Macaca mulatta: one gene and its partners. The protein of the gene in region 3 purifies or fractionates together with the protein of the main gene of each other region. This does not show direct contact. Links are inferred from orthologs where the notes say so. Each region holds a gene or a part of one and is shown on either strand. Other genes may lie near its edges. The genes, in order: ARFGEF2, ARFGEF1, MYCBP, OTUD4 and SPAG5.

Region 1 (3,514 bases), on a different chromosome or scaffold from region 3:
CAGAAAGAGCTGCATTTAGATCTTGGCTCCTCCACCTGAGAGCAGTTCCTTGGTTATATGTCTTACCAAGCCTCATCTGAAAAATGGGAATATGGAAAATCATCTTACAGGATTGATTAAATGAAATATCGGTGTTGTCCTGAGCATGGAGCCTTGTACTTTATAAATTGTCACTGTTGTTCCTGTCATTAGTCATTAATAATAATCTTCAATTCATCTATTGTGAATGCTGCTAATACTATGATAGGTATTAGGAAAATAGGCCAGGTGTGGTGGCTCACCCCTATAATCCCAACACTCTGGGAGGCCGAGGTGGGTGGATCACTTGAGGCCAGGAGTTTGAAACCAGCCTGGCCAACAAGACAAAACCCCATCTCTACTAAAAATACAAAAATTAGCTGGGTGTGCTGGTACGCACCTGTAATCCCAGCCACTCAGGAGGCTGAGGCAAGAGAATCACTTGAACCCAAGAGGCAGAGGTTGCAGTGAGCCGAGATCGTGTCACTGAACTCTAGCCTGGGCAACAGAGCAACAGTAAATTTTAAAAAATAAAAATAAGTGTTAAGAAAATAGTTCATGAAAGTGTACCATTTCTTACCATACCTGAACTCAGGGATGGGCAGCGGTGAGGGAGGGCTGTGAGGTAGGTGGATAAAGAGCACCGTCTTCATGGTGTGTTAAGATAGGGTGAGCCAGGTGTCTCAGCCTCCCACAAGTGATGTAAAGTCATTGATTCTCTCAGTGCAGTTGTAGAACCTGCTCTCCAGAATCAGTTGACACTTTGCTCCTGCTGTATTCTCTACTTTGTGATGGAGAGAGACAAAAAGGAATTGGCAGCTCTTGTTCTCAAAGGGCCTGCAATTCCAGAAGGACCCACCTCATGCCATCTGCCCTGATTCTCCTGACATTTAGGTGCTATTAATTCTTTATACTTCTGCTCATTGGTAGAGGAGCAAGGCCTTCTCAAGAAACATACTGTTTGACATTTTTTCTTTTAGCACTGTTACGGTTTTTCATTTTCTTTGCCAGATCCCATGAGCTGCGTTCCAAGGTGGTTTCCCTGCAGCTGCTTCTCTCTGTGTTACAAAATGCTGGCCCCGTATTTAGGACTCACGAGATGTTCATCAATGCAATCAAGCAATATCTCTGTGTGGCCTTGTCCAAAAACGGCGTCTCTTCAGTGCCTGATGTCTTTGAGCTGTCTCTTGCCATTTTTCTTACTCTTCTTTCAAACTTTAAAATGCACTTGAAAATGCAGATAGAGGTATGGACTCCAAAGTTTTTTCATTTGATTGTTTACTATTATTAATAATAATACTCAATGTTGAGAATGCTGCTAATATTATACACTAAGCATTAGGAAAATGGTTCGTGAAAATGTTTCATATCTTACCATCCGGAACTCAGGAGTGGGCAAGGGCAGGGAGGGTAAATGGCATACTCATCAGCTGGCACCCCAGTAAATCAGAACTTTTTAAATGAGTAAGAGAGTATCTTTTTATAAAAAGTTACTGCCCTCAGGCTGGGCACAGTGGCTCATGCCTGTAATCCCAGCACTTTGGGAGGCTGAGGCGGGCGGATCACGAGGTCAGATTGAGATCATCCTGGCTAACATGGTGAAACACTGTTTTTACTAAAAATACAAAAAAATTAGCCAGGCGAGGTGGTGGGCGCCTGTAGTCCCAGCTACTCGGGAGGCTGAGGCAGGAGAATGGCATGAACCCAGGAGGCAGAGCTTACAGTGAGCTGAGATTGCGCCACTGCGCTCCAGCCTGGGCAACAGAGCGAGACTCTGTCTCAAAAAAAAAAAAAAAAGTTACTGCCCCCAGATCTTATGTGCCTTTCATTTTAACCAAAGGATATGGGCTATATGCTGGGCTCGCCCCTTAAACATGTCTGTTTGGTCTGTAAATTGTTTGAAATCATTTAGATTAGTTGCCAAATTGAGAAATCCTATCTTACATGAAACTCCAGATTTCTGGTTTCTCTCCAAAAAGTCACAACATGGGTCCTGCATTTCCACTTGGCAGCTCCCCTGATGGCCCCTACCCTGCCAGCCGTCCCCACCAAGGCCAGGGTCCTGACGCTGCCCAGCCGGGCGGGCGCTCCACTCTCCTGCCCAGGGTGCTTTACTTACTGCAGGATCGGGTTGGCTTCTGAAGACTTTGGAGGTTTTGAGCCCTGGTTGAAACTGTTAATTAGTGTCCTCCTTTGTCTTTATGTCATATAGGTCTTTTTCAAAGAAATTTTCTTGAACATTTTAGAAACATCAACAAGTTCTTTTGAGCACAGGTGGATGGTCATTCAGACTCTGACGAGGATCTGTGCAGGTATTTTCACCTGGGGACACTCATCCACTGGACTTTTGATGCTTTAATTTGCCAAAGCTCAGATTAAGACTTTTAACTCCTCCTTTTAGAGTTTTAAAGAAGGATTGGAAATAAAAGGCTAATTCTAACCTAGTCCTGTCCCACCTCTCCTTTTTTAGAGGATGACCAACTCAGGCTGGTTTGCCAAGGACTTCCTGGTTTTAGCACTAAGTCTCATGTCCCAGAAACCCCCTAATCTCATCAAACTGGAACACTTGGTTACATTACCTACAAGCTGAGTACTGTTAGTCACAGGACCTAAGATATTGGTGCTGCCAATTTTTGATTGGGTGCTATGGTAAATGTGGATTTACCTTACACTATACAATTGTGTGGCCTCAAAGTAAGCATCCTGCTTGTCTGGCATCTAATGTATTTTTATAAGAGTGACACAACTTTAAGAGGTGGATCAGGCAATTGTTAGCCCCTTCCTTGATGAGAAAAGTGAGCCTTGGACGGGTGGAATGAACCGCCTGAGATTTCAGTTTGCTCAGAAGCGGGCCTGAAAACAACCTCCTCTCTGCCAGCTTCCTAGTACTTCCAACATGTGTTTCCTGAGTGAGATGCGGCCACTGGAGCCTGTAGTTCACTGGGGAAATTTGTTGGCAAACATCTTGTTTGATAAGAAAACATAACTGCTATTTGATCAGAATTTCTGATACTTGTATGTTATTTTCCAAGATGCCCAGTGTGTTGTGGATATTTATGTCAACTACGACTGTGATTTAAATGCTGCTAACATTTTCGAGCGCCTTGTAAATGATTTATCCAAAATTGCTCAGGGAAGAAGTGGACATGAGCTGGGAATGACACCTCTGCAGGTAAAAACACTGTGGACACTCAATTGTATTAAAGTTTATTCATTCCAATAAACATTTATTGAGTGCCACCACATGCCAGGCACTGTCCTTGATATAGCAGTGAACAAAACAGGCATACGTATTCTCACATTTCCTGCCATCATAAAACGACATTAAAGAAGTCAGTTCAGATGATCATAAGGTCTGCAGAGAAGAAGAATAAAGCAGGGACGGCAGAGAGGAAGTGCTGGAGGTGGGGTGCTGTAATTCTTAATGGAGTCATTAGGGTAGTATCCCTTAGAAGGTGACCTTTGAGCTGAGACCCATAGGAAGCAAATTCATTCT
Region 2 (4,295 bases), on a different chromosome or scaffold from region 3:
TCTAAAAAAGTTTATTAACGTATACACAGAAATCAGTATTATACCTGATCTAAGAGTATAATGAATCCTTTATTTCCAGTAATCTAGAGATAGTCTCTAAAATAAAATTAATTAATTTATAGATTTGTTTCTCAGGACAATAAAGTTTAAAAAAATTAATCTATTTTTCCACTTTAATTTGTCACCTTCAAGTTTTCCATTTTATTTCCTCTGGGTTTTAGCCTTCTCAAATCCGGTCACTTCACTAAGTTCACAGTCACTTAAGTTTCTCCTTCCTTAGGTTTGGATGGTTGCGTTAGGACAAGCCTACAGTTAAGCAATGAACAGTGACAGATGCATACTAAATACTAGGGAACCTGTGTGGATGGAGCCACAGTAGCTTAGAACTCGGAGACGTGACCCTAGATCACCATATAAAATGTTTGCATATATTTTTATGGTATTCTTTTTCTGCTCAGAAGGAAACTGTAGAAATTAAATATTGCAGAAATTTGAGTTCTACACTCAGACTAATGCAAACACATGGTCACGTGTGTTAATCTGTTTGCACTTAAAGCTTTTCCATTCTAAACTTGTTTACATGTCCTGGACTAAATCTTAGTATTAAAGGCACAGAAACACAGGGCTCTACGGAACCTCATTCACAACCATTCACCTTAACTGAGTCGATTCAGAAGGGACCTGAAGTCTAGAGTTGACCGATTCATCCGACAGAGAGAGAAAAAAGTGAAACATTTTCCAACCCTTATCATAGGTTTTGGCTTACTTTTCCCAAAACAGAATCCTCCCTGAGGTAGTCGGAGAGCACAGTCCTGGATAGCAGTTCCGTGCACCGGGGAAGGAGGAAATTTTAGAGTCCAGTGATGCAGGCGGAGACCCAGTGTGGCTGAGAACTGGCGATGCGGGTGTTCCTGTGACCCCTGGAATGCAAAGGATTGCACCCCCATCAGAAAGTTAGAGGAGCCGATGCAGAGTAGCCAGAAGTCCTGTTCATTCGGCAGGAGCAGGGGTGCCGAGTGGGGGGGATCTCCGGTTCCGCAGCTCGGCCGCAGCCAAGAGCCCGAAGTGCTGGGCGCGGCGCCACCAGAGGCCCGCCACGCCCCACGCCGCCCTGCAGGCGAACGCTGGAGGCCCCGCCGGGCCGCCGTAGCGCTGCGGCTCGGCCCGCTCCTTCCGCGCCGCCCTCCGCCCCCAGCCTCCCGGCGCCGCGGTAGCTCTGGGCAGGCAGCGCCGCCGCCGCCGCCGCCGCCGCCGCTGCTGCTGTTTCCTCCTCTGCAGCCGTTCGGCCGCTGCGTGACGCGTCGTTTCCTCCCAACATGGCGGCCGGGGCAGGTCGGCGGTGATGGAGGCCAGTTCGCGGCCGCGGCGGGTGCTAATCCCCACAGTAGCCAGGGTAGCCCTCCTCTCGCGGTGCCTGTGAGAGCCGCCGCCACCTAGTCCCTCATTTCCCGGCAGACAGCCGCCCAGGCCGGGCTCCGTTACCGCCGCCAGGGCCGGAGGGACGAGTGAGAGGGGCGGCCGGGACGCGACCCCCGGGCCGGGAGAAGCTGAGGCCCGACGGGCGCGGCCCTCGAGGTACGGCTTCTCGGGCGCGGCCCTCGAGGTACGGCTTCTCGGGCGCGGCGAGGACCTCGACGCTCCTCGGCGGCACCGCGGCTAGTCTCGCTCGCCCGCCCCTTCCTGATCCTGCCGCTGCCCTCCACGCCTCCACTCCCCCACCTCCACCCCCTCTCCTTTCTCTCTTCTCTTCCTTCTTCTCCTCCTCCTCCCCTCCAGCCGCTGGGAGCCGCGGGTCGGACGAGCCGCCGCCTCCTTCTCTGCGTCCATGTATGAGGGGAAGAAGACGAAGAACATGTTCCTGACCCGGGCCCTGGAGAAGATACTGGCCGACAAGGAAGTGAAGAAGGCGCATCACTCCCAGCTGCGCAAAGCTTGCGAGGTGGCATTAGGTGAGTGGGGAGGAGGCCCGGGGGATGGGGTGCTTGTTGTGGGGCGGGGGGACAAGGGGGGCGCCCGTGGGGGGCTGGGGTCGCCCGAGGCTTGCCCGAGGCCCGCGCTTCTGACCTCGGGGAGCCCTCGCGGAGCTCTCTGCTCCCTGTCTGGAGTTGATAGGAACTCGGCTGGATGTGGGGCAGAGGCAGGGTAGGGGAGGAAGGGCGGTGAGCTGGGCTTGGGAAACTCGGCCGGGCATAGGATCGCGAGGCACCTGGGTTCGAGGGATCGACTTGAGAGTGAGGATTTTGTTGGTGGTCCGTGAGGTGCGGACTGGATACCACCCTTTGTGATGAAGCAGAAGATGAGCTGTTGTTTATTAGCTTGGAAATTGAGGTGGGGCCGGTATGTCAAGATTGGGCGTGGGAAATGTTCCATATCATAATTATCAATAACTTTTTCGTTTAGCGAGGTACTTTGGGGAGATAGGCTGCTGAAGTTGTTTCCTTGTTGACAGTCTTGAGAAGGGGTTCAGAAGAGGTGCAGCCGGTTCTGACATCTCTCCGCCTCTGCCACAGGAAAAACATAGAGTAATATTGTATCTGACTGGGCTGACCTGGAAGAACAAGTCCGGTGGTTAAGGGGTGGGGGTGGCGGCGTGAAAGCAGGGAAGCAAAGAACCTTTAGATAAAATGGCTTTAGGTGACAAGGGAAGGGAGGGTTTGAAATGAGGAAAATGAAAAAGACAATGACACCCACTAGCCACATGTCTGGACAGTGGCAGCTGTTCTCAAGCTTGAATTGTGATTTATAGTTCAGATGGAAGAGATCTAGTGTAATGAAGCCCGCAGCAGGGAAAATCTAAACAATACCTCCTGCCTATGAGGTTAGGCAGATAAGGAATAGTTAAAGGGGGAACATTGTTAGATCTATTGCATCCATCAAAGATGAAATCGTTTGAGAGACCATTTAACACAAAGATGCATTCCTAATGCTTACACTTTATAGCACTGGAAATACACTAAGTCAAATTGGCAAGAAAAGGAAGCTTGCTAAATAGGCTTTGGAAAAAAGCCTTCTTGAAAGGGAGAAAATCCACAATAAAGTATGCTAAAGTTAAGGAGTCAAGACAAGTTAAAATTAGTTTTTAATTATCAAAATAAGTAGAAGACTACTATTTAATTTGCTGTGATATACCGTAGTTTTTTTTCCCCTAGATCGTTAAAATTGGTAATATGGAAAACGTCAAAGAAATTTCATCTTAAAAAATTTGAGTGTGTAGTATAAGGGGCTTAAGTTTGTTTTTTCACCTTATTCATCGACTTGAAGTTTGCATTTTGTTATTTTTGTTGGTAACAAAAGACTGTTCCCCGTGTATGAGAATACCGTTGTCTAGTGGCAGAAACTGTATTTATATCTAGATCCTGAAAGGAATAATTAAATTGGGGTGGGACTGGGGAGAAAGTGATTTTAGAATTTTTAAAATAATTGTTATATGTAGGTTTATAAATTACTTGAAGGTGAAAGAACTTTAGAGAGATTCAAATTAAAGTTTAAAATTTTTGTTTGTTGAGACAGGGGCTTGCTCTGTCACCCAGACTGAAGCACAGTGGCACAATCAGGGCTCACTGCCACCTCAAACTCCCAGGATCAGGCATTCCTCCTGCCTCAGCCTCCCAAGTAATTGGGGCTTCAGGCACACCGCCACACCTGGCTAATTTTTTTTTTTTTTGGGGTGGAGATGGTGGTCTCTCTATATTGCCCAGGTTGGTCTCCAAGTCTGGGCTCAAGAGACCTCCCACCTTAGCCTCCCAAAGTGCTGGGTTTATAGGTGTGAGCTACCTCTCCTGGCCTTAATTTTTTATAATTCAGATTTTTCATGTTACAACATATTTTTAATACATTAAATTGTAAGTATCAAACTGAAGAAATGGAGTGTGTTGTGTGTATGTATATATTTTCCTTCTCCAAAATGGTAACATAAATAAGCATATTTTAATGGAGAGCCTACTGGAATGAGAGTCAGAGATCCTATATTTAAATCCCAGTTGTGTTACGTCGTTGTATTTAGCAAGTCCCTGGGCCTTAAGTTTTCTGTAAAATTAGGGTATTGAACTTAATGATTGTATGGTCACATCTCCTCTAATGTGCCATGAATGTGATTGCACTGTCCTGTTAACTCATGCATTGGGTATTCCCTACCACTCATGAGCATCATCTTTAGAGGGCCTATGTAGGGCTCTAAATGGTCCTTGCCATTTCTGGAGGTAGGGATTACTTGATATGTGTGCCAACTGTAGCAGCGTTGTCTATTCCAGATTTTGCCAGTTTTTACTTTTTTGTCCCTTCTGTATACTCAGTAG
Region 3 (3,514 bases):
CCCAGCTAATTTTTTGTATATTTAGTAGAGACAGGGTTTCATCGTGTTAGCCAGGATGGTCTTGATCTCTTGACCTCGTGATCCGCCTGCCTAGGCCTCCCAAAGTGCTGGGATTACAGGCGTGAGCCACCATGCCCGACCAGTTTTTTTTTTTTTTTTGGGTAAGTCGGGGTTTTGCCCAGGTTGATCTCAAGCAATCCTCCTGCCTTGGCCTCTCAAAGTGCTGGAATTTCAGGCATGAGCCACTGTGTCTGGCCTAAATTTTTTACAGCTTATTTCCAAGATGATTTGAAATAGTTTATAACATTAAAACACTATGAAAGGATGGCTAAAGATAAAGATGATAAATCATTTGGAAGCTGAAGCATTTTAGCTATTTTGAGCAGTATATCAACCTCTAAAAATCCTGGCTACGAAGGCAAAAAGGGGTGCACGATTGGGTATAGAGTTCTTGTCTGATTAGAAGGAAGTGCATTTCATTTATAGAAAAACACAGGAAACTTAGTATTTACAGTATCTTCTGCAATGATCAACCTTGTAAGTACCACTGACAGAAATTAGAAGCCGAGAGAAATGGGGTGGGGGAATAAGAGGAGAGGAAAGAGTATTAATATTCATGTCTTATAAAATTAGGATTTGGCTGGGTGTTCATGCCTGTAATTCCAGAACTTTGGGAGGCTGAGGAGGGCGGATCACCTGAGGTCGGGAGTTCGAGACTAGTGTGACCAACATGGAGAAATCCCGTCTCTACTAAAAATACAAAATTAGCCGGGCATGGTGGTGCATGCCTGTAGTCCCAGCTACTAGAGAGGCTGAGGCAGGAGAATCGCTTGAACCTGGGAGGCGGAGGTTGTGGTGAGCGGAGATTGCATGCCTTTGCACTCCCGCCTGGGCAACAAGAGCGAAACTCCGTCTCAAAAACAAACAAAAACAACGAATTTCTCAAAAAATAGTGCCGTTAAGTGTATTTAGATGAAGAGTAACTATCACAACTCAATGTAAGTTGTTAAAAATAGTTGCCCATTTGATTTTTTCATACTGTATATTATTTTGGTAAGTTGTTAAAACTCTAAAACAAAAGAAGTATGTAAGTTGGTTTACAACAGGACTTAACTTGAGGTCTAGATATCTATCACTGTTTTTTTTTCTTTTAGACAGAGTCTTGCTCTGTTGCCCAGGCTGTAGTGCAGTGGCATGATCTCAGCTCACTGTAAGCTCCACCTCCTAGGTTCACGCCATTTTCCTGCCTCAGCCTCCTGAGTAGCTGGGACTACAGCTGCTGGCCACCATGCCCAGCTAATTTTTTGTATTTTTAGTAGAGACGGGGTTTCACTGTGTTAGCCAGGATGGTCTTGATCTCCTGACCAGGTGATTTGCCCGCCTCGGCCTCCCAAAGTGATGGGATTACAGGCGTGAGCCACTGCGCCCAGCCACATTTTTTTGTGTGTGGTTGCTTTTTTTGCTTTTATTAAATTTTTCAAAGGGTTCCATGCACAAAAAGGCCAACCACTAAATTAGAGTTTTTTTATCGAAGTAGTAAATTCTAGGAAGAATTTGTTCCATAGATGAAGAGCAAGGCAGTGCTCATATGAGTGATTAGATATGAAACCACTCAAGTATATCTTATTTTAATGTTGATTTGAGCATGTTGACTACAGGTAAAATTTTTGATTAGTGGTTATTTAGCAAAACAAACTTCACTTTTAAGACCATGTTTGAATTCAGAGCGTCTTCCAGTAATTACCATAGTCCTGTTGATTCTTTCCTAAATTCTCGAATTTCTTTCTTCTCACTGTTCTATCACTCCCATCACTCTACTGCAGGTTGCTGTCTTTTTAAACTGGATTACCACATCAGCCTTTTAACCGTTCTTCCTGTCTTTATCCTCATCCCACTCCAGCTGGTTCACATAGCAGTTAAGAGTGGATCCTGTCACTCCCTTCCTTAAAACTGTTTAATTATATGCCAACCAAATTTGCATGACCCTCCATAATGTGGCCATGACCACCTTTCCAGCTTCCTTTCCTGCCAAATTACATCTCCAGCCATACTTGAATTTTCAGTTCCTCAATACATTGTTTTCTTGCTCCTGGGCCTTCCCATTTTAAAACACTCATCCCCTAGGTATCAGGTCTTTGCCTTCCTTTAGGAATCCTTCCTTGATGTCCTAGGCTTGCTTAGGTGTTCTTCCAGTGTGCTATCGTAACCCATTATCCAGTATTACTGCTTGATACCCTCTAGTTCCTTGCATATCTTTTACGCTTGACTGTAAATTTGTTGAGAACAGGGACCTTGTCTGTCTTGTTCAGCATTGTATAGTCTTTGCAACGTGCTCAGCATATAGTTGGCACCTAATATTTACTGGGTAATGGAATATAATTTCAGCCATTCAAATTGAATACGTCAATTGTTGCTTTTTCTGCTTTTTGATTTGCAGTGTTGGTAGCCTTATATGAAGAACCAGAGAAACCTAACAGTGCTTTGGAGTATCCTTTCATCTTTCAAGTCAGAAAAAGGCTTTATTTTGAAACTCTTATTTTTTTAGATAGATAATAACCTTTAAAATACTTCTGAATATTGAGAAAGTTAGTTTTTTTTTTTTTTTTTTTTTTTTTGAGACGGAGTCTTGCACTGTTGCCTGGTGGGGAGTGCAGTGGTGTGATCTTGGCTCACTGCAACCTCCGCCTCCCGGCTTCAAGCGATTCTCCTGCCTCAGCCTCCCAAGTAGCTGGGATTACAGGTGCCCGCCACCATGCCCAGCTAATTTTTTGTATTTTTAGTAGAGACAGCGTTTCACTATGTTGGTCAGGCTAGTCTCAAACTCCTGACCTCATGATCTGCCCACCTTGGCCTCCCAAAGTGCTGGGATTACAGGCGTGAGCCACCATGCCCGGCCGAGAAAGTTACTTTCACTTGAGTTTTTGGATGGTGATCTCTGGGTAGATATTGGTGGTAAAGTGGGTGACTCTGGTCAGGGATATTGATACTACTCTGTGCTATTTCATTAGTTTCATTCATGTCTAATAAGTAAGTTCTTAACATTGATAATAGTTTTTTAAAGCATCACTTAGGAGCTGCTACCCCAGAGAATCCAGAAATAGAGCTGCTTCGCCTAGAACTGGCTGAAATGAAAGAGAAATATGAAGCTATTGTAGAAGAAAATAAAAAACTGAAAGCAAAGGTAAAATTTTAAAAATAAGTCATGTGAAGATAATTTTACCTGTAATAATTATATGATGAAAACCTCACTAAAATGGACAGGAGGGGAGGAAGGTGGGTGAATATCAATTTGAATTAATTGCAAAGGCCAAAGTTATGCTGTGTCTAGAAGACCACAAGACAGGCTGGGCGTGGTGGCTCGTGCCTGTAATTCCAGCACTTTGGGAGGCCAAGGTGGGCAGATCACGAGGTCAAGAGTTCAAGACCAGCCTAGCCAACATGGTGAAACCCTGTCTCTACTAAGAATACAAAAATTAGCCAGGCATGGTGGCATGTGCCTGTAATCCCAGCTACT
Region 4 (3,514 bases), on a different chromosome or scaffold from region 3:
TTAATGATACAGCATAAGCCATCTTCTCTTCTCTGTTGAAAAGGGTGAGGAGAGAGACCTTTAAACCCTAGATTTAATCTCGTTTGTTCTCTTTCAAGTTTTCCCAATCAATGTAGTAAAAGCTTCCACAATTTCCTTCTACAATTAGAGCAGATTTATGACAATCCCATAAGGCAGTACCTGAATGAATCATGTTCTCTTTTTCCTCACCTTTAAATACCCCAGAACGAGAACTATTAAAGGTTCTTAAGATAAAATCCTGGCTAATCAGATGACTTCACAAAAGCCAATTTATCATAAAGTAAATGTTTCCTCTGTAAGTCAAAAATAAATGTTTGCCAATGGCTGTTTTAAAGTAGTTTTTTAAAAGGCAACACTTTTTGATGGAAATGATTTCTGATGAGAATTAACTTCTACATAACATTTTTTGTGTATGTGGTTTTGTTTTTGTTTTTGAAATAGCAATATTTTTCCATAAACAAGGAACAAAAAACAAGAAGAGACCGTGTAAATTATCTTACCTAGGGTTTCTTCTGCCTAAGCATTACTGACACTTTGGACTAGGTATTCTTTGTTAGAGGGAGATGAGGGAGGCTGTTCTGTGCACTGTAGACTATTTGGCTACAGCTTTGGCCTCTACCCACTAGATGTCAGTAGCACCCTCCCAGTTGTGACAGTAAAAAATTTCTCCACACTGCTGAATGTTCAGTGGGGGTAGGGGGGGCAGGGGAGGAAGTGAGGGGGTTAACTACTAGATTAAGAAACACTGATTTTAATCCAACTTTCTCCTTTTAACCATCAGCTACTCAAACCCAGGGCAGCTGCATATTCAAATTAATTGGCAAAAACTTCTCTGTGGTTCACTTTCCTTCCTCAGTCCAACAGTAAACATTATGTATGTACCAACATCATCCAAGATGATTTTCATAAACAAAACTAAATGACCTATAGTCAATTTTGAATCAATTTCAGTCAATTTTAACAAAAAAACCTCAATATCTGATATGTTATTATCATTACTTCTTTGAACCAAGTTAATACCAAAGGCTGAATTGTTTTTAAAGATCATGTGATGGAATGCCAGTTTCAGATACATACAATTTTAACAATGTATTCAAATGAGTCAAAAACCTAAATACTTGTAAACTACTAAAATGTATATACATAATAAATATATTCTGAAATCCCAAATTAACAACATATTCACACCTCAGTTGTTTTCTCGGTTCATATTAGAAAAAGCAAGGTTTCAAGTAAAATCTCTTATTTTACATGAGTCACTTACTTGACATTTGTCTCCAACTTCATATTGTAAGCCAGCAGCAATGGAATAATCACGTTTTTGCTGAGCTGTTAAAAAAAAAAAGGTCAGTATAATATAAAGTTGACTTATTTTCAAGTGCTACAAAGCAAATTTATGGAAAATGCAGATTTTTAACTCACCTTGTTTAGACTTCAGCCAAATTTCATATTCCACATTTCTATAGACTGAAGGATTGAGTGACTTAAGAACCTTTCTAGACAAAGGCAGGCTAGGAGAGTTCCCATTGTTCTTCAGCTGCTAAACAAACAAAGTCAAGAAGTCCAATCAACACGAGTGCTTTTAAAACATTTTTGTTTGAGATACATGTAAAACTAAAGTCAAATGAAGAAAAGAAACTTCAAAAAACTAGGAAGCCACCAAATCAATTTCTTAGATGATCCTGACTTGACTGAAATGTACCAGAAAAAAGAAAAAAAATTAAGATTTTAATGTATATGCTTTCTTATATTAAAGAGCTAGTTTTAAAACCACTTTAAAAAAAAAATACCTCATTGTCTGACAAAGGTTTAAATCCATTCACATCAGCAGCAGCAGCAGTTTTACTCCTACAAAGAAAGATAACCATAATTAGGGGCAGAAAAAAGGTATTTGCATGTAATTACCTTCTAACTTCATCTAAAAGTCTTCAAAGTCAGAACTATGCTCCAAAAAGTCAGAGCTATATTCCAGTGAGCTCATACAAGTTTTGGTATAAATATATCTATATATAAAAGAGTATATGTATGTAAATGTATATATATATAAGATAGAAGTCAAAGACAACAGTAATTCTAACTGGCTCAGTAATCAGTAAGAGAACAGAAATAAACTGTGAAATCTGGGTGGGTAGAATAATTGAATTTACTCACGTGTATATTGAAAGCAACTTTTTACATTGTTCTGTAAATTCAATATACCAGTTTCTTTCTTTCAATATACCCGTTTTTAAAAAAAAAAAAAAAATCGATTTACAACAAAAGTATCTATAGGCAGATTCGACAACCCTTTTATTAAAAACACTCTCCATCAGCCGGGCGCGGTGGCTCACGCCTGCAATCTCAGCACTTTGGGAGGCAGAAGCGGGCAGATCACCTGAGTTGGAGAGTTCAAGACCAACCTGACCAACATGGAGAAACCCTGTCTCTACTAAAAATACAAAATTAGCTGGGCATGGTAGCGCATGCCTATAATCCTAGCTACTCGGGAGACTGAGGCAGGAGAATCGCTTGAACCTGGGGGGCGGAGGTTGCAGTGAGCCAAGTTCACACCACTGCACTCCAGCCTGGGCAACAAGAGCGAAACTCCATCTCAAAAAAAAAAAAAAAAAAATACTCTACATCAAATAATGTTCAGCACAATGAAAGCACCATCATCAGCCCTTTAAATTCACTGTCGCATACATACCTACACATATACTCAATAACTAACCTGAGTGTCTACTATGTGCCATGCACTGTACACTGCTGGCTCTTGAACAATACAGGTTTGAACTGTGCAGGTCCACTTACACACAGCTTTTTTTCCAACCAAAAGCAGATCGAAAATACAGTATTCTTGGGATGTGACACCCAAGTACACAGAGGGCCAGCTTTTCATATAAACAGATTCACAGGGCCCGTAGCAGGACTTGAATATGTGCAGACTGTGGTATACTCAAGAGTCCCGAATCCCCTGGTATACACCAAGGGATGACTGTATTATTAGGTGCTGGAGTCTAGCATTTAAGAGAATAAAAACTCTGCCTACATGAAATGTACAATCTGGTGACAACAGATAAAAACTAGTAAGTAATGAGTATGTTACATGCTGATAACTGCTATAAGGAAAAAAAAAAATAAGTAGGCAAAAATGAGTGTTGAGATGTAGGCTGATACAGTTTAGCTTTGTGCCCCCAGCCAAAATCTCATTCTGAATTGTAATACTCCCCACGTATCAAGGGCAAGACCAGGTGGAGATAACTGAATCATGTGGGTGGTTTCCCCTACGCTGCTCTCATGATCGTGAGTTCTCACAAGATCTGATGGTTTTATAAAAAAGAGGCCACAGTGCCTCAGGCCTGTAATCCCAGCACTTTTGGAGGCCGAGGCGGTCAGATCATCTGAGTTTGTGAGTTCGAGACCAGCCTGACTAACACAGAGGAAACCCCATTTCTACTAAAAATACAAAATTAGCCGGGTTGGTGGCGCATGCCTGTAATCCCAGCTACTCAGG
Region 5 (3,942 bases), on a different chromosome or scaffold from region 3:
ATCTGGAGGTAGTACGCCCAGTAGTTAAGAGGGAAGGAGAATTCAATTTCAATCTAGTATTCTGCTATTGTGATTAAATAATCATGGTTAAATTCTATAAGCTCAGGCCAGGTGCTGTGGCTCCCGCCTGTAATCCCAACACTTTGGGAGGCTGAGGCAGGTGGATCACCTGAGGTCAGGAATTCGAGACCAGCCTGGCCAATATGGCGAAACCCCATCTCTACTAAAAATACGAAAATTAGCCAGGCGTGGTGGCACATGCCTGTAATCCCAGCTACTAGGGAGGCTGAGGCAGGAGAATCGCTTGAACCGAGGAGGCAGAGGATGCAGTGAGCCAAGATCATGCCATTGCACTCTAGCCTACGGAACAAGAGCGAAACTGCATCTCAAAATAAATAAATTAATTAATAATCATAATAAATTCTATAAGCTCTATAGAGCTCAATTTCTACCTAGTACTTATTTATTTTCCACCTTAAGCTGTACTGTCTAATATGATAGCTACCTGTCACACGTAGCTATTTAAATTAAAAATTCAGGCCAGGCGCAGTGGCTCACGCCTATAATCCCAGCTCTTTGGGAGGCGAAGGCGGGCAGATCACCTGAGGTCATGAGTTCGAGACCAGCCCGATCAACGTGGAGAAACCCCATCTTTACTGAAAATACAAAAATTAGCTGGGCGTGGTGGCACATGCCGGAGGCTGAGACAGGAGAATTGCTTGAACCTGGGAGGCAGAGGTTGCAGTGAGCCGAGATCACACCATTGCACTCCAACCTGGGCAACAAGAGCGAAACTCCATCTCAAAAAAAAAAAAAAAAAAAAATTTAATTTAATTTAATTAAAAATTCAATTCTTCAGGCCAGGCGCAGCGGCTCACACCTGTAATCCCAGCACTTTGGAAGGCCGAGGCAGGCGGACCACTTGAGGTCAGGAGTTTGAGACCAGCGTGGCCAACATTGTGAAACCCTATCTCTACTAAAAATACAAAAAATTACCTGGGTGTGGTGGCATGCACCTGTAATCCCAGTTACTCAGGAGCCTGAGGCAGGAGAATCCCTTGAGCCCTGGAGGCAGAGATTGCAGTGAGCCAAGATCACTCCACTGCACTCCAGCCTGGGTGACAGAGCAAGACTCCCATCTCAAAAACAAAAAAATTCAATTCTTCAGTCACCTCAGCCACATTTTAAGTGCTCGGTAACCATGTGACTAGTAGTTACCATGCTGGACAGCACAGATTATCAAATATTTCCCTCATCCCAGAAAGTTCTATTGGACAGTAGGTATTTTGTAACTCTTTCAAGAAAGACTGCTATCATCCTACTGTTACTCAGGATGTCATCTGTCTTTATACACTCTTTCCTCCTCAAACCAATTTTACTGATATCCCATCTCCTTCCAAAAATAATTCATATGCATGAAAATGAATAGATATGATTAATGAAATAACAAAGTCATGGTCAAAAAAGAGGAAGCAAAACTTCCTATTTTGCGAGTAACAGTAGCTGTATGTGATGATCCAGTTTGGCCTTGAGCTTTCTAGAAGGCAGAGCAAGAGGGAAAATATGGTAAACTGCATAGTTCTCATTATCAGAAAGAAAAGGATAGCAATTTCTTCAGGAAGACAATTTTTCCAGGCAGTTAGTCCCAAAGCCTTTCTTTGAGGAATCTTATACAGGAGTCAAGCTTCTTCCTTGACAAGTTTTGACAGCAACTGAAATGCAGTTTCTACATGGGTACATCTCTCAAGACGTTTAACAAAAGTACAAATCAGTGAGGGCAATTCTGCAAGGGGCTAGTTTAAACTAAGGTGATCCAAGTACCCTGCCTTCCAGTGGTGTAACTTGATCCCAGGAGAGTTCTGACTACCTCCTAGAGTGAATGGATATTGCCTCAATCTTACAGCTGACTGACCTTTCCATAAGTGACCCCATGTTGGAGGAAGAGCACTAATCAGAGTGGCAGGATTTCTAAGTAGTTTGATAAAGGTCGAAGGGAGGAGGAGGAGGAGGTAATAAAAACTAACAGCTAAACAGAGATTCAGGTTCTCAGTAGGTTTCCTTTAACCACCCTAGGGCACCTCTCTGTTGGCCTGAATAGCTGTAAATGGATGTCAGTGACGTAGAAGACTTCATTATCGTTATTAATTATTCTAGCCCTGGCCCTCTGTTCCCCTGAGCTCTCACCCTGGGCAAACAGCCCAGTCGAGAAGCTGTCCAGGCGAATCTCACCTGCAGCCCCAGCTTGCACAGTGATGGGGTCAGCGAGGAGCAAGCGGGGGGCCTTTTTCCAGAGTTGGTGAGGGCACCGGGCTGCAGGATAAGTTCGCGGAGAGGAGTTCTCATAGCTGGTTTTCCCTGAGAAAGAAATCAAGAAAGAGGGCTAGTGTGAGGAAGCCTGGGCTCTGCTAGCCCGCCCTTCCTCCCTCCCTAAGAAGCCCAAGAGGTGATTAGAAGAGTAGGCTCGCATTCTAGTCGCGCAGGAGCGGCAAGGCGAACAAAGACTCCACAAGCACCCAACCCCGGGCTCGACCCAACTTTCCAGGACAGTCGACACGGCCGGTGCCCCCGCGCCAGCAGCCCGGCCCAGCTCTCTCCGCCGGAGCTCTCCCGCTCACCGTCTGGGGCGAAGGCGACAGGCTAAGGCTCAGTTTTTTCACCCGCCACATCTTCAGCCAGAAGGCAGGCCGATCACGTCTCAAACCAAGTCGAGGACGCCATGTTCACCCGCCGTCTGTGTTTGAACCTGCTCTGCGCTTCCCAATTGGCTGCTTCAGGCGGGCGCGTCCGCTCGGCGCTGGGGCCCGGGGACGGGGGCGGGTCCCGCGTTGACCACGCCCCCGGTCCTGCCAGCCCGTGGGTTGTCACGCGCTTTCAGCTGACGGAGCCCTCACCGCAGACACCGACTGTAGGGCTGGATGCGGGCCCGGCCCAGGACAGGTCTTGTGTCCTCACACCGGGAAGGACCCCGCAGGTAGCTGGGGAGTCCAGGAGTCCATCCCTCCTGATTCCAGTGGACCTCCTCACATTCATGGTGTTCACATCCAAGTTGTCTCCGTGGATGGAAAGAGGAAGCCGCTCCCTAGGTCTCCCTCAGGCCCCTCCAGCCGCAGCCTTGACGGGAAAGAGCCGGCCAGGGAGTCTAGAAGCCGAAGCGGTGACAAGCTGCTTCCCTAGGCTTGGTGGGCCCGCGTACAGGACGGCCTGGGCCGTGGTTCTTGACCTGGGCTGTAATGTCTCCAGAGTTTCTGGGCTTTTCCTGGGACTTGCTCAGGCCGGCTACCAGTTTACTGGGCTTACCGCCTACATGTATTGAACATTGAGTGTGTGCCTGGCGCTGTGCCGAATGGCGTGTAGTAGCTCATTTAATCCGCATAAGGACCCACGTAGTGAGAAATACTATAATACCCATTTGAAACAGGAAGGAGCTGAGTCAGAGAGACCGTGTGTAATTTGCTCAGCATCGCACAGATAGTTAAATGGCAGAGCCGCCCTTCCTCCCCGCCCCGCCAGCTCCTGCCTTCTGCTTGTGCACGGGAAGCCTATTGAAGGTAGGACAGCCGAAAAGTAAGTATTCAGAGTGAGCCGTTTGCGAAGGTGTGTTCCTTTGCACACTCACGGCGCCCTATTTACACTCTGCAAGTCTTAATACATTGGGGGAAAGCAGCAGTCCAAAGAGTAGGAACTATGATGTTATAAACTGCAGCGTCCTCAGGACGGGCTCCCTAGCACTGTGTTGTCCAATACATTAGCCCTAGCCATAGTGGCTTTTGAGCACCTCAAATGTGACTAGTCCCAGTGGGAATGTGCTATAAATGTAAAACACTGTACAAACTGGATTTCAAACACTTGGTATGAAAAAAAATGCAAAATAGCACCAGGTGCCATGGCTCCTGCCTGTAATCCCCGCACGGAGGAGGCAGAGGCAGGGGGATCCTTTAAACC

Evidence for each region.
Region 1: the proteins of MYCBP (region 3) and ARFGEF2 purify together in Homo sapiens (co-immunoprecipitation; 4 studies listed by BioGRID and IntAct, with this or other methods). This does not show direct contact. The link is inferred for Macaca mulatta from reciprocal best matches to the Homo sapiens genes MYCBP and ARFGEF2.
Region 2: the proteins of MYCBP (region 3) and ARFGEF1 purify together in Homo sapiens (co-immunoprecipitation; 4 studies listed by BioGRID and IntAct, with this or other methods). This does not show direct contact. The link is inferred for Macaca mulatta from reciprocal best matches to the Homo sapiens genes MYCBP and ARFGEF1.
Region 4: the proteins of MYCBP (region 3) and OTUD4 purify together in Homo sapiens (co-immunoprecipitation; 3 studies listed by BioGRID and IntAct, with this or other methods). This does not show direct contact. The link is inferred for Macaca mulatta from reciprocal best matches to the Homo sapiens genes MYCBP and OTUD4.
Region 5: the proteins of MYCBP (region 3) and SPAG5 purify together in Homo sapiens (co-immunoprecipitation; 3 studies listed by BioGRID and IntAct, with this or other methods). This does not show direct contact. The link is inferred for Macaca mulatta from reciprocal best matches to the Homo sapiens genes MYCBP and SPAG5.

What each region holds. Positions count from the first base shown.
Region 1 is NC_133415.1:101,785,527-101,789,040, forward strand, and holds part of ARFGEF2 (brefeldin A-inhibited guanine nucleotide-exchange protein 2), read left to right. Parts: intron 1-1,029; coding exon 1,030-1,264; intron 1,265-2,230; coding exon 2,231-2,330; intron 2,331-3,050; coding exon 3,051-3,190; intron 3,191-3,514. UniProt on the Homo sapiens protein: Promotes guanine-nucleotide exchange on ARF1 and ARF3 and to a lower extent on ARF5 and ARF6. Promotes the activation of ARF1/ARF5/ARF6 through replacement of GDP with GTP. Involved in the regulation of Golgi vesicular transport.
Region 2 is NC_133413.1:78,034,510-78,038,804, reverse strand, and holds the start of ARFGEF1 (brefeldin A-inhibited guanine nucleotide-exchange protein 1), read left to right. Parts: upstream 1-1,485; 5' UTR 1,486-1,575; exon of another isoform or gene 1,576-1,603; 5' UTR 1,604-1,825; coding exon 1,826-1,949; intron 1,950-4,295. Other genes in the region: uncharacterized protein LOC144330803, read right to left, coding at 947-1,318. UniProt on the Homo sapiens protein: Promotes guanine-nucleotide exchange on ARF1 and ARF3. Promotes the activation of ARF1/ARF3 through replacement of GDP with GTP. Involved in vesicular trafficking.
Region 3 is NC_133406.1:201,940,036-201,943,549, forward strand, and holds part of MYCBP (C-Myc-binding protein), read left to right. Parts: intron 1-2,437; coding exon 2,438-2,486; intron 2,487-3,051; coding exon 3,052-3,181; intron 3,182-3,514. UniProt on the Homo sapiens protein: May control the transcriptional activity of MYC. Stimulates the activation of E box-dependent transcription by MYC.
Region 4 is NC_133410.1:153,741,291-153,744,804, forward strand, and holds part of OTUD4 (OTU domain-containing protein 4), read right to left. Parts: intron 1,870-3,514; coding exon 1,812-1,869; intron 1,562-1,811; coding exon 1,444-1,561; intron 1,351-1,443; coding exon 1,286-1,350; intron 1-1,285.
Region 5 is NC_133421.1:37,300,163-37,304,104, forward strand, and holds the start of SPAG5 (sperm-associated antigen 5), read right to left. Parts: upstream 2,815-3,942; 5' UTR 2,667-2,814; coding exon 2,616-2,666; intron 2,356-2,615; coding exon 2,230-2,355; intron 1-2,229. UniProt on the Homo sapiens protein: Essential component of the mitotic spindle required for normal chromosome segregation and progression into anaphase. Required for chromosome alignment, normal timing of sister chromatid segregation, and maintenance of spindle pole architecture.